Arabidopsis thaliana: one gene and its partner. The protein of the gene in region 2 interacts with the protein of the main gene of each other region in a pairwise test. Each region holds a gene or a part of one and is shown on either strand. Other genes may lie near its edges.

What was found. Proteins that work in one complex are often made in the same cells at the same time.
Region 1: the proteins of AT2G27930 (region 2) and HSFC1 interact in a two-hybrid assay, tested with the Arabidopsis thaliana proteins (one large-scale study listed by BioGRID).

The regions. Positions count from the first base shown.
Region 1 is NC_003074.8:8,937,425-8,945,468, forward strand, and holds HSFC1 (heat shock transcription factor C1), read left to right. Parts: upstream 1-3,641; 5' UTR 3,642-4,030; coding exon 4,031-4,258; intron 4,259-4,287; exon of another isoform or gene 4,288-4,342; coding exon 4,343-5,107; 3' UTR 5,108-5,450; downstream 5,451-8,044. Other genes in the region: AT3G24514 (uncharacterized protein), read left to right, coding at 1-48, 1,500-1,525; AT3G24516 (uncharacterized protein), read right to left, coding at 164-352; AT3G24517 (uncharacterized protein), read right to left, coding at 682-1,083, 1,128-1,217. UniProt on the Arabidopsis thaliana protein: Transcriptional regulator that specifically binds DNA sequence 5'-AGAAnnTTCT-3' known as heat shock promoter elements (HSE).
Region 2 is NC_003071.7:11,888,736-11,896,771, reverse strand, and holds AT2G27930 (PLATZ transcription factor family protein), read right to left. Parts: upstream 4,676-8,036; 5' UTR 4,530-4,675; exon of another isoform or gene 4,415-4,529; 5' UTR 4,404-4,414; coding exon of another isoform or gene 4,322-4,403; coding exon 3,896-4,321; coding exon of another isoform or gene 3,803-3,895; exon of another isoform or gene 3,437-3,802; coding exon 3,284-3,436; 3' UTR 3,044-3,283; downstream 1-3,043. Other genes in the region: SCPL51 (serine carboxypeptidase-like 51), read left to right, coding at 7,729-7,858, 7,979-8,036.

The DNA of each region.
Region 1 (8,044 bases), on a different chromosome or scaffold from region 2:
CCTCTGTGGAAGTCATCTATAACGATGCTCTTGCGTTTTCAATCTATGGTAGAACCACCAACTTATCGCTTTGAGATCTCGTTATCCCGAGCATTTATCTTAACCCAAGCAATGTCGCACGGCGAGACACTTCTCTGGGATACGACTTCACTTTTTGGATTGACTAGGATCCTCTGGTTCTCCTCCTCTGCCTCACCTCACGGCCAAAACCAGCAAACGTCGACCTTTCCTTCACCGGAGATGGACGCTTCCCTCTCGTCATCTCCGTACAACAGCCGCCACCATCACGACCTTCATTTGTCTGAAGGGAAATTAGGTTTACAGCTGGTGGGCCTGGTTCTTTTTGGCCCATTAAGGTATCGAATGCCCATTAGTAAAGATGATCCAAAACTGCCTCTCCTAAAGCCCAGGTCTGATCTGAACTATTCTTTATCCATCTTTAGTCAATCTCTATATCACTTATTGGCTTCAATTGATCGTGGACATCATACGAACCATAATGAACTAGTGTTGATATGGTTGCATAAGAACTCCCTTAGAACCCTGCCCTTAGTTTCATCTAGGACTTTCGTTACTGGCTTTATTTGTTTGAAGAATAATGGTATCATGTTCCCAACTCCAACAAGTCGATGGTGTGATCTTTGTCACCCAAGCGCCACCATATGTATATCTCCGACACATTTAGGTATCTCCTTCAAGCAATCCTGCATCAGCAGTAGAGTTAAGGCTCATATCTCTCGGATCTCCAAAGAAGTTCCCAACCTTTTTGAGATAATTACTGAACCTTCGCCTCACGCCCTTGTAGTTAAAGGATTGAAGAAAATCGGCATTATGATCACGTCTCCAAGGAGCGGTGATTACCAACGCTTCTTCAACCTTTCCCACTCCTATCCTCTGATTACTGAATTCAAGCAAAAGCGATTCAACATTATTAAGTTTAGTATTCATGATCTTCAAAGCTTGGGAAAGAACGGCATTATGATCTCGTCTCCATGGAGTGATGATTACCGAAGCTTCTTCAACCTTCTTGACCTTACACCCATCGTTACCCACCTCCTCGGCGATGAACAACTCCAGTTTCTCCTTCTCGTGTCGGCGAGAACATCGGCCTTGGAACCTTATTCAACGTCATCTCGTCTCTTGACAGTGACCAATTTGTTGTCCATTGATTCGTTCGTGGAAGATCCTTCGACTACCCGTGACCTCACATGTGCCATCATGCCTTATAGTTTGTGGCTCAAAGCTCTCATGAATTTTATGTCGTTTCACATTATCTATCATATCTTGGTTTTGGGGAATGCCTCTTTTAATTATGTTTTAAACTTTGTGATCTTTGAATCACTCCTTCTTATATTTGTTTTGATTTGAATAAATGAAAACAAATCTTTGCAAAAAAAAAAAAAAAAGATTATATCGACAATGATATTGTTTAAATATATCAGTCTACATTTATCATCTTCTCTGTTAGACTCGTCGTTAAATTTCTATTTTTTTAATAGTTTACACAGATGTTTTCATATTCTAACTATTTCTTTATATAATAAATTTGTATATCTAGTAGACGGATCTTCAAAAAAAAAAACAAGTTCTCCCCACATATTAATATCAAAAAAATTCTTAAATACCTTATCAGCATTTTAGATTTAATTATGAGCAAAATAAATGTTTAGAGATATGAAACTTAAATAATTGTATCTTATTCTCAACAATTAACGAATAACCAATTTGGAGACAAATCTATAAACTAATAAATCTTGCTTCTCTATAGGGTGCGCTTTTGTCCCTGTTACGTATGAAGTGACGTATAATCGTCTACTAAACTATTTTATCCGTACGACATCAGTTTCCTATAATATTTGTGTGACACTATAATAAAAATGAAAAATCATGTTCGTCGTATACCTGAATTAAGCAACGTATAATGAATAAACTTTCCATAAATACAAAAATACTCGATTAGTGGAGTGTGCATCGCCAACAAAAAAGATTCTACGCAACGTGTCGAATCAGTACTTGTTCCTGAGTTCCTCCGTCACTAACCAGTGCGGACCATGTCAGTATCCAAGCACCCACACGCTCGTCGTCTCTTGAAAACATCTCACACAAATACACAACGGCTCGGACTAATAACTTGCCATCTAAGAAAAGCTAATTGACCTAAGGCTTTGTGGCACCTGCATGTAAAAAGCAAACACGAATTTGCCACGTTATTACAAAGCATACCACGTCACCGTCTCACTGTTACACTATCTCTTGTTCTCCTTTATTTCGCTATGGACAACAAAAATTATAAGGTGGGGAAGAGATGTCTCAAAATACTTTTTTATCGTCCTCTCAATTTATGTAACTGATAATAATCGAAATAGATAAATTTAATTGTAGGTTGACAAAGCGCTAATTTTAATAAAAACATATATTAGTTTGGAAAATTTTGTCGTAGTAAGTAATTAAACCTATCAATCTTGACTAATAATTTCAAGTATCCCATAAAAATCAAAATTGTCCTTAGGTTTTGAAATTGTACTACTGATAGTACGTAATTAAACAAACAAAAGCTATAGCTTGTGGATTATAGCTAATCCCATTTGGCGATGAGAGTAATATATATATTGTTCAAATAAAGTTGTAATTAAGATTCGATTGAAAAGGTAAATTATAGTTTAAGAAAAACAAAGAGAGGAGACAACAATTAAAAAAATGAAAAGTGGAGAACTGTACTCTCGCCTATACGAGGAGGTCATTATCTCCAAGGCTCTCAAGGATTAAGGACCATGCTTTGATTCTATAAATGTTGTTTTATTCAAACTATTTATATTATTATATCATACGTAATATGTGGTTAGCATTTGACCCACGTCCCCTTAATTAAGTCTAGATTAATCCCATTAATCTATCCAATTAATAATTAGGAAAATTTTATATAAGATTGCTATTGGATTTCTCGGTGGTGGTTTAAACTATAAAATAGTAATGCCTTTGATGCGTGTGATTTTTTATTGGAACTTATTGGTTTTAATTCTTAACCTAGCAATTATATTTGTAGTAGTTTATGTTAATCATTGTTTAATAATACTCCTATAATAACTCTTGCAAGTAGCAACACTTGTGTGGCTATTTATTCCAGAGTCCATGGATATGTATGTATAAGAAAATAGGAGTGCTTTTGCAGATTGAAGAGTTTGTCTATAAAATCATGTTTACTTGGCATTTAGTGTTATTGTTTGCAATTTTTTATTTTAAATTAGTCGGATATTTTAAGTTAAAATCTGAATACACAGCATGTTCCTTCTAACGTTTTTTAACATAATTGTAAACTAAAGAAAAATTATAATATAATAAATTAAATTATACCCTCTCTATTCATTGTAGAAGATTTGTTTGTTTCACCAAATGTGTTTTTTTTTTATAAGTTGCTCTCACTCTTGAGAGTTTTGGAGTATTTTGAAGAGGACGAGGTTCTTTTGTGAAAAAGTGAAAGAAACAAATCATGTCAAGAATTAGAAAGAAATCATGACAAATAATTTTGTTTGTGCAGAAATTACAAATGAATCATAGATATCCTTCTAATTCGGGATCGGAAACCAGTTGAAAAATCGATGGACTAAGCTTTCTATATTGGGACTAGCTTACCCTTAGAATTAGTCAAGCAGCTTAAATCATCTATGACTTAAAATTATAATTAAGAAAAAACAATGCCTAAATATGCATATATTTCAAATGTATCACATAACTTGTGACATAAGAAAATATAAACAAAACAAAAAGGGCAAAAAAGACCTGAAAGCTTAGAGGCACACCTGCATAGGTCCCACAGTTCACTCGTGACACCGTAAAAGGCAAAACACGAACCCGCCACGTTATCACAAAAAGCAAGCCACGTCAATATAGTCTCACTGTCAACTACACTTAACTTACTATTTTCACATCTCATTTTCCTATCTTTATATAAACCCTCCAGGCTCCTCTTTAATTTCTTTACCACCACCAACAACAAACATATAAACCATAAGGAAAACAGAGAAAGAGAGAGATGGAGGACGACAATAGTAACAACAACAACAACAACAACGTGATCGCACCTTTCATCGTGAAAACATATCAGATGGTCAATGATCCTTCCACCGATTGGCTCATCACTTGGGGACCTGCTCACAACAGTTTCATAGTCGTTGATCCACTCGACTTCTCGCAACGAATCTTACCTGCTTATTTCAAACACAACAATTTCAGCAGTTTTGTTCGTCAACTCAACACCTATGTAAGTTAATTCATAACCGAAACTCATACATGAAACTGGAAACAGGGGATTACGAACTAATGATCCTTTCTTTATTTACTTTAGGGGTTTAGGAAAGTGGATCCGGACCGGTGGGAGTTTGCGAACGAGCATTTTCTAAGGGGACAGAAGCATTTGTTGAATAACATAGCGCGTAGGAAACACGCGCGGGGGATGTACGGTCAAGATTTGGAGGACGGTGAGATTGTGAGGGAGATCGAACGGTTAAAAGAAGAGCAGAGGGAGCTAGAGGCAGAGATTCAGAGGATGAACCGGAGGATCGAAGCGACGGAGAAGAGACCGGAGCAGATGATGGCGTTTCTTTACAAAGTCGTTGAAGATCCTGATCTTCTTCCAAGAATGATGCTCGAGAAAGAACGGACAAAGCAACAACAACAAGTTTCCGACAAGAAGAAGCGTCGTGTCACGATGTCGACGGTGAAGTCAGAGGAAGAAGAAGTGGAAGAAGATGAAGGGAGGGTCTTTAGGGTTATGTCATCATCAACACCGTCGCCGTCATCAACGGAGAATCTTTACCGGAATCATTCACCGGATGGGTGGATTGTTCCTATGACGCAAGGACAGTTTGGTAGTTACGAGACGGGTTTGGTGGCGAAGTCGATGCTCTCGAATTCAACGTCGTCGACGTCATCATCTTTGACGTCGACGTTTTCTTTGCCGGAGAGTGTTAACGGAGGAGGAGGAGGAGGATGTGGGAGTATTCAGGGAGAAAGAAGGTATAAAGAAACGGCGACGTTTGGAGGAGTGGTAGAGTCAAATCCACCAACAACACCGCCTTATCCATTTTCTCTGTTTCGAGGTGGCTTTTAGCGTTTAGCTTCACATGATATATGATCTTTAGACTTTATTATTGTTATATTATTATTATTATTTATTTTTTGTGTGTTTGTTCTTAATTATTTTATGTATAACCAAAAGAAAGAAAGAAAATAAGGACAGATCCATAGTTGAGTCAGTAGTCATCGTTTGTAGAAAGTTTTGACAGTATATAATTTCTGATTATATTTGTTAAAAGTTCATATGTTGACTTTGTTTTCCTTTTAAAAGTACTTTCAGGTGACTTGTGTAATATATTCACACTTGTAATAACAACAATTTTGATCTTCTTCACTACTTCAGTGTTTTGATTTTTGAATAAAGTATTATTGTAGCCTTATATCTTTGTAATAACAACAAAATATAGGCTTTACTTTTTCCACTTTAAGCTAGTAATTAAGTCTATATACCATTTCAAATTTATCGTTAATGGCCATCTTTAAACTAAACCATATCGAGTATTTGACTCTTTCTCTTGAAACACTTGTTCTCAAACACATTAACGAATCAGTTGACATGGTATATAGACTTACTAGCTTATATAACCCACATGCTTAAAGCTGATCATAAAGTAGAAGAAACATTGCCTATATATAACCCACGTGGTTAAGGCGACACAAGTCGGTCGACTGATAACAAGTCAACGAGACATCCATTCAAGATTCAAACGTATCATCAACACGACGCTCCACTTTCACTTTCATCTAAAATTGATAACATGACATTGTTAAATTTTGAGACGTGACAGTTAGCCACGGGACTTTGGTCGGCCAACAACGTTTCGAACACTCATTGGGCTAGAGAGAGAGAGAGTATAAAACAACGATAAATCTAAATTGGACCACCTGATGTCTCTCACACGAGGACGCGTGGTTATACCAGATAATCGCAAAATCTCTTGTAAGATGTTCGGGTCCATACTTTGATTGTCGGCTCTACGATACGCTCATACGCATACATCATATAAAGTTACTATCACAATTTTGTTTTGTTGTTTATGATTGATTTTTTAACACTTCGATAATACTTATGTTTTCTTTTGTTAAAATACTTAAATAATATTATTAAAGTTGTAAAGATTCGTAACTTTATAAAGTTTTATGATCTTTTACTCAATTTTATAAATTAAGTATTCACTTATTACTTTTTTTTTTTTGTTAAAAGACTTGTTTACTTATTTGTGATGTAGTTAAGAATTATCTTTTATATTAATTTATGAATAATATTTTATATGTCTTTAAAAAAAAAATAGCGAAAAATTTCTCCAACTTAATAGGAGAACAAAGTTGAATAATTTTCTTCTTAATAGGATATTGAATGGTCTAGTATCCATTAAAAACTAAGTCGGCCTAAAATATTTTCATTTTATACTATTAATTAGCTAACAACATATACTATTGTTTATCAAAGAAACAAAACATACTATTGGTTGTGGATTAGCTAACCTTATTTAGTAATAAGAGAATAGTTTTTCTTGTCCAAATCAATTGCGTAAGACTCGACATAAATGGAAATATATACTTAAAAAAGGAAAAGAGAGAATAGTTGTAAGTTGACAAAGGGCGAACCATCTCTTGCCGGTTGGAGGAAGTCATTGTCACTTAGGATCTAGCGAATCAAGGACCATTCTTTGGTGCTATAAATTGTAGTTTTATTCAAGCCATGTAACTTTTTTGGATTTTTATAATGCACCTAACATGTGGTTAACATTTGACCCACGTCCTCTTAATTTAAATCTAGCTACATAATTATGCATTACTTAATTGGTAAATTTTGCATTAGGATATTGGTTTTCTTGGTGATGGCTTAAACAATAAATTAGTGTATGTTAGATTTTGATTGGATTAGAGGTTTCAATTCTTAACCAAGAATCTTTTCCCCTTAAAAAGTGCTTTCTTTTTATGAAAATTATTGTCTCTATAACCAAATACTTCTTGGCTTCTTGCGCACTTAGTGCCAAATCATTTGTTTATAGTAACGTCTTATCCAATCAATTTCAAAGGAAAGGGAAAAGATAGAAAGATAGGTTAATTGACTTGTTTCCAAGATATATATTAAGTTCATTTCCATATTCAAATAAATTCCCAAATTATTGTCTAAAAAGTTACTAAGTTTTTCAAATATTAGGTTTTGGATATTCGATTTTGATCACTTGTAAACTCTTTCTGATAATAAATTCTGGAAAAGGTCTCAATGAGTCCAGCTAGGTGATGAAGGAAAATTCAGAAGCACAATCATCTTAAGGGTTGTAGAACTATGGTGATGTTCCCAAGCATACATGGTCTAGTGGTAGAAGAAGTTTTGGTGTAAGGGAAAACTTTTAGATCCGAGTTCGATTTTTCTTGTAAACAAAAACACAAGTCTGTTAGTTGGGGTTTGACCTAATTGGTTTACATGGTAATCAGAAATGCATGCGGCTTCACTACCCTTTGACATTAGTCGGAAAGCATTCCAAACTCGGAATAGTGACAATTCGAGGAAAAGTCCACTCCAAAACATTTTGGTACGTTTCCATCCGGACTAACCGGATCAACCGATAGAGTTTATCAAACAAGAAAAAAAACAATGGTTTTGTTAAACAAGAAGAGAAGGAAGTAAAGTTAATCATTTGATCGTCAAAATATGGCGTAAAGGATTGTATGCATTTTGGTTAACTTAAGATTTGGGATCTTGAATTGATCACTTTCAAACTCTTTCTGATAATAGATATCGAGACTATCCAGAAAAGATTTAAGGCTTGATCAAGTGCCAAAAAGGTTTTCGGTATCCAATATGATGGACCAAAATCTTGTATTTGAATATCGAATGTGTAGAAGGTTGACAAGTTTGGTTCGAATTCGAAGTTCGAACCAAACGCAACACTTTTACATGAAAATCGTTGGCACCATAAATAACACTACTATGAATTAAAAGAAATAGAAAGACATTTTA
Region 2 (8,036 bases):
ATTTAGTCCCCAACTTAAACAAGTTGTAAGGAAAAACGTCAGAATTAAACAAAATACCCAACTTTTGGTGACTCACTCTTATTGTTTAATTTCTTAATGTAACATGAGATATTGGTATAATAATAATTATATATTTTAAGTAAATATAAAATTAATAAGAAGGTGATATATTGGTATTTATATCCCATTTATACGTGAACTTAAGGGTTCCAGCACTATTATTTCGTGCCCATATTCCGCTTTCTCTCGGTTGCCAAAAACATGCGTTAGGTTTCCGACCTCCACATACATCATGTATAAAACTCTCCTTCGCAATAAACGCGTTAAACTTTACATGATGAACATAATTAGGTCCCTGGAAAGATATCGTAATAAAAAAATTTACATGAATAACATAAATATAAACAAGAATATATCGTTAAAAAATTATAGGTGTAACAATGTGAAAGAGATAACAGTGGAAATTGAACTACCTTCCATACGTGGCACCATATCAAAGTTTTTGGGTAAATTGTAAATTTTATTCTCCAAATGACATTGAAGGGAAGAAATTTAAGTGGGCTCGCTTGATCTCCAGATCTACAAATGATCATGAGTTTTTTGTTACCTGCAAGATGATTCGAAATATCAATGTAATAAGTCCTAAGTATTATAATGGATTCTATGTTTTGGATGGAGATGAAAAACAAGAAGAAGAAACATATTAAAAATTTTCCCATCTTGGTTATTTTATTTTTCCTCATTACATAATAATATTTATACTATTCACACACACACACATATTTAATATATTTGTTAATATATTTAATTCATTATATATTTTTCCTCATATTTGTTAATATATTTAATTTCATTATATATATTCTTCTCTCATATTTGTTAAGATATTTAATTTTATTGAAAAAAATTTCTCTCATTAATCTCAAGTGTTAGTGTACCATCCACAATGAATCCAATTTATTTCTTTGGAAGCTCACCATGTCACGGAGACCCATAAAATACATATGTTTGGCTCATGAATGGATCAAATTAATAGTCAAAGGTCAAGATCAATATAAAAAATTCAAATAGTTAAGTTCAATTCACAAATTAATTAATGACCATGAATAACACGCTAAGAGAAGACAATTTTTCTCTCATCTTAGTCCACAAAAACAAGGCTATTTCAATGGATCCAAGTTTCTTCAAGGATCTTGAATCCCATTGGAATATAACAGACGGTCCTCAAGAAGGTTGCGGTATTGATTTCATTTGTCCAAAATATCTAAAGGCAATCTACACTGGAGTCACAAGTTTTTTGCACGCTCGTTCAAAATTCTAGTCACAATCTCCACTTTTTCATTTTGATGATGCATTTCAGGAATAGTTTTCTCCATTGTAATCCTATTATCAGCGCAGTATTTTATAAACTCACCGCAAATGTACTCTTTACCATTATCAGATATTAGACACTCAATTTGAGATTTATCTCAACCATACTTGTTCTTCATAAAGTAAACTTCATACTGGAGTCATCAATGAAAGTCACATAATAGTGTGATACTCCTAGCGATGCAACATAAGCAGGTTCGAACAAGTTATTTTGTACTAGCTCCAACTTCTTAGATTTCAACTTCCTACCATCACTCAAAACCTAACCCGTTTCCGCTTTCCAAGGATGCAACTTTCATACATGTAGTGATTTAATATCTTTAAATTTGGAGATTCACCATTTGTTACCATGAAATTCATACATTTCTCGCTCATATGCCTCAATCTATAATGCCACAACTCAGTTTTGTTTTAGGCATTTTCGGCAACATCAACTATATATATCTTCATAGTTAGTGGTCATATAAATAGTGTCTCTTTTATAGCTTTTTGTACCTGTCATGGAACCCTTTGTCACTATTCAAGCTCCACAACCAACATTGATATCGTGTCATGTATCATCAAATTGTCCAACAAAAAATAGATTTCACATCACTTTCGGACATGTCTAACCTTTGTGATTTTCCATACAAGCTCATCTGACATCTTCAGGTTAATGTCTTCAACACCAACAATGTCCAAAGATAATCCATCTACTAGAGATATCTTCTCATAATTTTGGGCAACATAGTTCTCCATTATGTCCTAGGGAGCATTAGTGTGGAAAGAGGCTCCTGAATCAAGAATCCAAGAATCGATCTGACTATAAGCTGAAGAGATCGATGCTTCTCGCAGTGCGATCAACAACCGCAACATGAGCTTGACTTCCTCTTGGAGAATTATACTACCAATGCATTATGCATCAATTATTACTTTTGTACAATTCCACAATTCTCTAATTATTCTCGAGAAACGACAACACGTAATTCATAATTAATGTTATAACCTAGTTTTTTCTTAAAGTGCCATAATATATTATGTAGAACGTGAAGGAAATTAAGGTCGATGCGTACTAAAATAAGACCATCCTTTACGTAAAATTTTACCACTTAAATTATTTATGTAAATAAGTGAAAGTTTCATTTTCTTTTTTAAGTAACTGTACCTTTCGAATACCTAACGCCTACGACAAACTATTTTAATTATATAACAGCTTAGAATTAATGTCGAAGAACATTTCATGTGTCTATACAAAACATATACACATTCATGTCCCTTAACCATTTAGATATTTTCCCAAAAAAAAAGAAAAGAAAAAAAAAACCATTTAGATACACAATTATTGATCCCTAAACCCCACACAATTTCAGTCTAAACTAAAATATTTAGTAGCTAGATGGATATAGAGACAGGTAACTTCAAACCACCACATCGATTAGTTATTAGATTATCTACTCGGAAATAAAGTATACAGTATATCTCCACCGACATTCTCATAGTCTAACTAATGCCTAAATTTTCATGTTATTCCTTCCTTCCACAAAGAGTCTTTTTGAACTCTTAATTTTTGTATAATGTGTTTTAAAGGTAAGACTTATATTTCACAAAAATTAATTAGTATATCAAATAGAGTCCATCCTACAATCCTACAGTATAGATATATGTTATACAATTAGCTAGAAATGTATTTAATGTTTTACAAAAAAAAAATATAGGGAAATTAGGATTTTCTTCTATACAAATTGTTGGTTTTCCATGTGAGAGGATTGTGAGAAGTGAGCTGGACATTGTACAAATTGGGAATATATAAATACACCCACCCAATACGCATATACTATGCTATGTTTGGGTGGACCATTAACTGATGATTTTAAAAAGATAAAAATAAGTTAAAGAAAAGTTTTATTTTATTTCTTGAAAAAGATTGATTAAATTAGGAGGCAAAAGGAGCTCTATGAGGAATGCCTTTTCGTCGCCTAGAATTAGAGGTATGAGTTGGAGGATGCGTGCCTTTGTGCGTTTCTTGTTGTCTTTCTTTACGCAATCTTTCTTCTTCCTCTTCCTTATTCTTCCTCATTCCTTCAACCTGACATTTTTATTATGATCACATCATACATTTCCGTTATGCAAATGTACCATATACTTTTTTTTTGAGCAAAATGTACCATATACATATATACAAACATCTAACCTCGTATATATTTTCTTAAGATACATTATATGAGGCAAACAACATGTATTAAGCGAGTTTGAATATAGTTGATTCAATGAATTTACCATACAAGTAACTAAACATTATACGGTGTATCCTTAAACCGATTCCTCATTTTATATCGGACAAATAAATGCGAAGATATTAGTAATAATGATGAAAATATGATAAACCAATTTTGTTGGTCCAGTTGTAAAGTGCTCGTTAGATAGATTGACTTATAACTATGCATTCGTTTTTCTATGATATGAAGTTTACAGGTTTTTGCTCATGATTTATCCATCCAGCTACAAAAAGGAATTTTGCATTGAGAAAAGGTGTAGGAAAACGAACCTTGCAACCCAAGGAACAGAAGCGAAAGGGATCAAGAAGGGTTCTGCAACATGTCTCACAGAAGTAGGACATGGTTTTCGGAGTGGAGGAGGCGGCACCATGGGAGGAGTTCTTAGGCTGAGGTCTCTCGTTTAAGAAGAGAACCCTCGCGCTATTGATGACATAAGTTTGCACTCCTCTTATGTCCAATGCATTCTCTATCTCCGATACTCTCACCACATCATGATACGACGATCTTCTTATCTGTCTCAATGTTAATGATAAAGAATTGGATTGAGTCAAAAGTGATATATATATATATGTGTATGCATTGTGTGTTGAGAAAATGAAGGACCTGAAGGACGGGATGATCAATGTGAAAGGAGGAGCGGCAGTAGAAGCAAAACGCAGCGTTTTGACAGGAGAGACAGAACATGTTGCACTCATTTCGCGGTGTCTCGCGATGTCGAGGGCAAATGCTGAAGAAGTTTGTTCTTAAGAGACCTTCGAGCCATTTCGGCTCCTCCATTAATCTCTCTCCTGTTTTGTTTTTCTTAGACAATAATTACAATATATACAAAAAGGGAAGAGCGAGACAAAACCTTATGAACAATGTAATAAATTACGAAGAACATGCTCTTGCCATTTGCATTACCTTTATGAAGATGATCAGTAGAGGGAGAGAGAAAGGGTATTAGATGATTGATTTTTGAGACAAGAGGAGGAAAAATCAGATTTTAAGGGTAAGAGAGAAAGGAAGATATAAATTTTATTTTATTGTTGATAAATGAAGATTTTATGTTTTTTTCTTCTTATTTAGGATTGGTAGATATCTTTTCAATTCTTCTCTTAATTATTAAATATTTATTGTTAATAGTTTATTGGGGGAGGAAAGGGAAAGGATATATAATTAGATATGATGTTTGGTTAAGGTTGATTCCTAACCGTTGGATGAGGCCATTGAGTAAATGAGTTTGATGACAAAATTACAAGCTAATTAAATGTGTATATAGATCAAAATTTGTTCCAACTTTGACTACAAAAATAACCAAAATATTAAATGATAATACTTTAAATTTAATATATATATATATGAAAATAATTAAATTCAAAAAATGTTTCTAAAATATATTTAATTAACATTTATGATTTGAATAATAGATTTCTCGAACTATTGAAACGTGTACATCCAAAAGAAACACACATTATCAACATATGTCAAATTAAAGAGATCAAAATTTGTTCCAACTTGGAATTTAATTATAACCAAAAAATTATAATGGTAATACTCTAATTTTGACATATCTATATCAATAAATGAAGAAGAATATATATATATATATATATATATATATACATATATAATTTATGGTTTACCTAAGAAATTCTTCAAACTATTGAAACGTGTACGTCCAAAAGAAACATACATAAATTATCAATATTTTCCACTTGGTATTAATCTTTTGGTTTGTAAGGTTGATCTTTTTGTTCGAGCCAACATTAAACTACATTAGATGGAATGTTGGCTCGAACAACCACATTATTCAACTTAGTTTAAAGAGTTTCAAACACTGTTTATCCCCTCATGCAAAATTTGAATCTCTTTTCTAGGTGATGACATTCCTCATTTCACTATCTTTAACCGATACTGCTTTTGAGAAAGATTACAAGGAGTTAACTCGGCTGATGACGGCCACGTCTGATGAGTGGTCTGGTCTGTCAAAGGGTAAATTTGTCTATCATTAGCATGGTGTAGAGAGAACCTTCTAATGTAAATCTTTGACTCTTTGTAGTGTCAATTGTAAAATTGTATATGAAATCCCTCATCAAGTAAAACTGCATGAATGATTTGTTAGTTGAGAAGATCGATCATTTGGAACAAAATAAAAATAAATTAAAATATTACAGACAAAAAAAAATATTACAAACACGTAAACTAAAGTTCACACTAATCGGTGGACCTCAAATATGATGGGGGAAAATGCCCGCTAATTACTCTTTAGGGAGGGTGCTAGCCTACGTGGTTGGGCGTGCCGTTTTGAGATGGAGAGCATCCGATCAGGACCAGTGTGTCAGTGATTGAGTTTGGAGCCCATTTCTTCTTATTCCTTTTGAGTTAGTTGATATTTCCCTAAGTGACTTTTTCTATTGGGCATTCTAATGGACCTGGTTTTGAACCTTTTTTGCCTTCAGTTTAGTATGCTTTTATTAGGTTAGGCGTTCGGGTATTCACATATAGAGTATAGATTGATTGGTTCTATATATGCGAAAAAAAATTAACTGACAAAAAAAATTATGCGATGTCTTGTGCTCGAAATAAAGAATAACAATTAGAAAATACGAATCTAGGGTTCAATCCATGGATAATTACTTGGAAAAATCCTTTACCTTGTAGAAATTGACATGCTATTTTATACAAAAAGAAACATAAGATGTCAATTTCTTTGTGTATAAAACATGCAAGAAAATTATTTGTTATAAAAAATATAGAAAATGTGAATTCAGATGGGTTTGAATGTGTTTTGGCCTGTCACCTTTTTCGTATGCTAACTTAATTTTTTTTTTAATTTGTTTTTATAAAACAAATATGGTTATAGTTAGCCTAATTAATTATAGTTGCGTCGTTATTATTATTATTATTTAGTAACAACATAATTTAAAATCGGAATGTTTTGTGTGAATAGATATACTATCTTGGAATTGAAAACTTTTATCAAACTTCTGACATGAAAGCTAAGTTTGGCCATGTACGTATGAGTTAAGATATTAAATTGCCTGAATATTCAGATGTACTTTTTTGAAATTTTATTTTCCTCTTATCTGTTTTTTAGCTCAAGAAAGTGACGCAATACTGATAGCCAACATGTGGAGTAGTTGTTGCATCGACCTTACGTTAATTCCCCGAATAGCTAAATATCAAATTGCTTTATCATCTCTTACTATTTGAGAATAAATTCAGTTACGGTATTTATTAAAAAGGATAACGGACTTACGCATGAATCTATTCGTAATCAATGAGTGGAAACCACTTTTTTGGTGTCATAGTTGCATTCGTGCCGGCCGCATCATCTAAGAAGCAAACCAAGGAGATTGTTTTTACTACTACGTTGCTCTTGCTGTCTTGCAAAAGATCAACAAGTAAATATCCACCCATAAACTCAGGCCCGATATCCAAAATCCAGTATAGACACTAGGCAGAACACTATAAGTAGCAATCTACACTTCATAGACAAAAAAGGCTAATCAAACCTAGTTTCGTCTTAAGAAAAGTAATAATCTAAAACAACACTCGCTCAAAAACAATAAATAACATAATTTACGTGATGTTCTTCTGTTTCCCTCAAATCGAATGAATCCATTTTTCCTTGAGTGGTGGAGGTTCATCGGAAATAACCATACCGATATTTTTCATGACCACAATACTTTATTCCGTCGTACACGTTTATCTACGATCTAGCAATCAATCTACGAAGCCAAGAAACAAGAACAGAATGTGGATGACCAAAATTTTGTGCTACAAAAAAAATTATCCAAAAATATCACAACCTATTGCTGTCAGAAAAACAAAACAAAAATATTAATGTTCTCTTATGGAAGAAAATATTTCTTTTACTTTTTGGTTAATAATTACAGTAAGAATTTAGCTGACATTCTATCTTTACTAGTGAATTTTCATTATATAATATATAGTATATATATACCAAATAAGGTTGAACCAATAGCATTGACTTAATGACTTGACACTCCATAATATATTGCTTCCTATAGTGTCTTTATCCCTCTCAAATTTTCTTTTCTCTCTCCCTCTCCCACAATCACAAGATAGGAAAATTGATCCACAAAGAATCGTCTGAATGAAGACAACAGTTGTTTATCTGGTGATTCTATGTCTCATTGTTTCATGTACCAATGGAGAAACCAAACATGTAAGAAAAATTAACTCCGATGGATCCGAAGCTTGGGGATACGTCGAAGTTAGACCAAGTACGTTCTTTATCTCTCTTTCTTCTACCAAAATTTTCAAGAAATCAATTGGTTTATGTTAGATATGACTAAATGGGTTTTGTTTTGACTCTTTTTTCTAAATCAAAATCGTGAAAATAGAAGCACACATGTTTTGGTGGCATTATAAAAGTCCATATAGAGTTGAAAATCCTTCCAA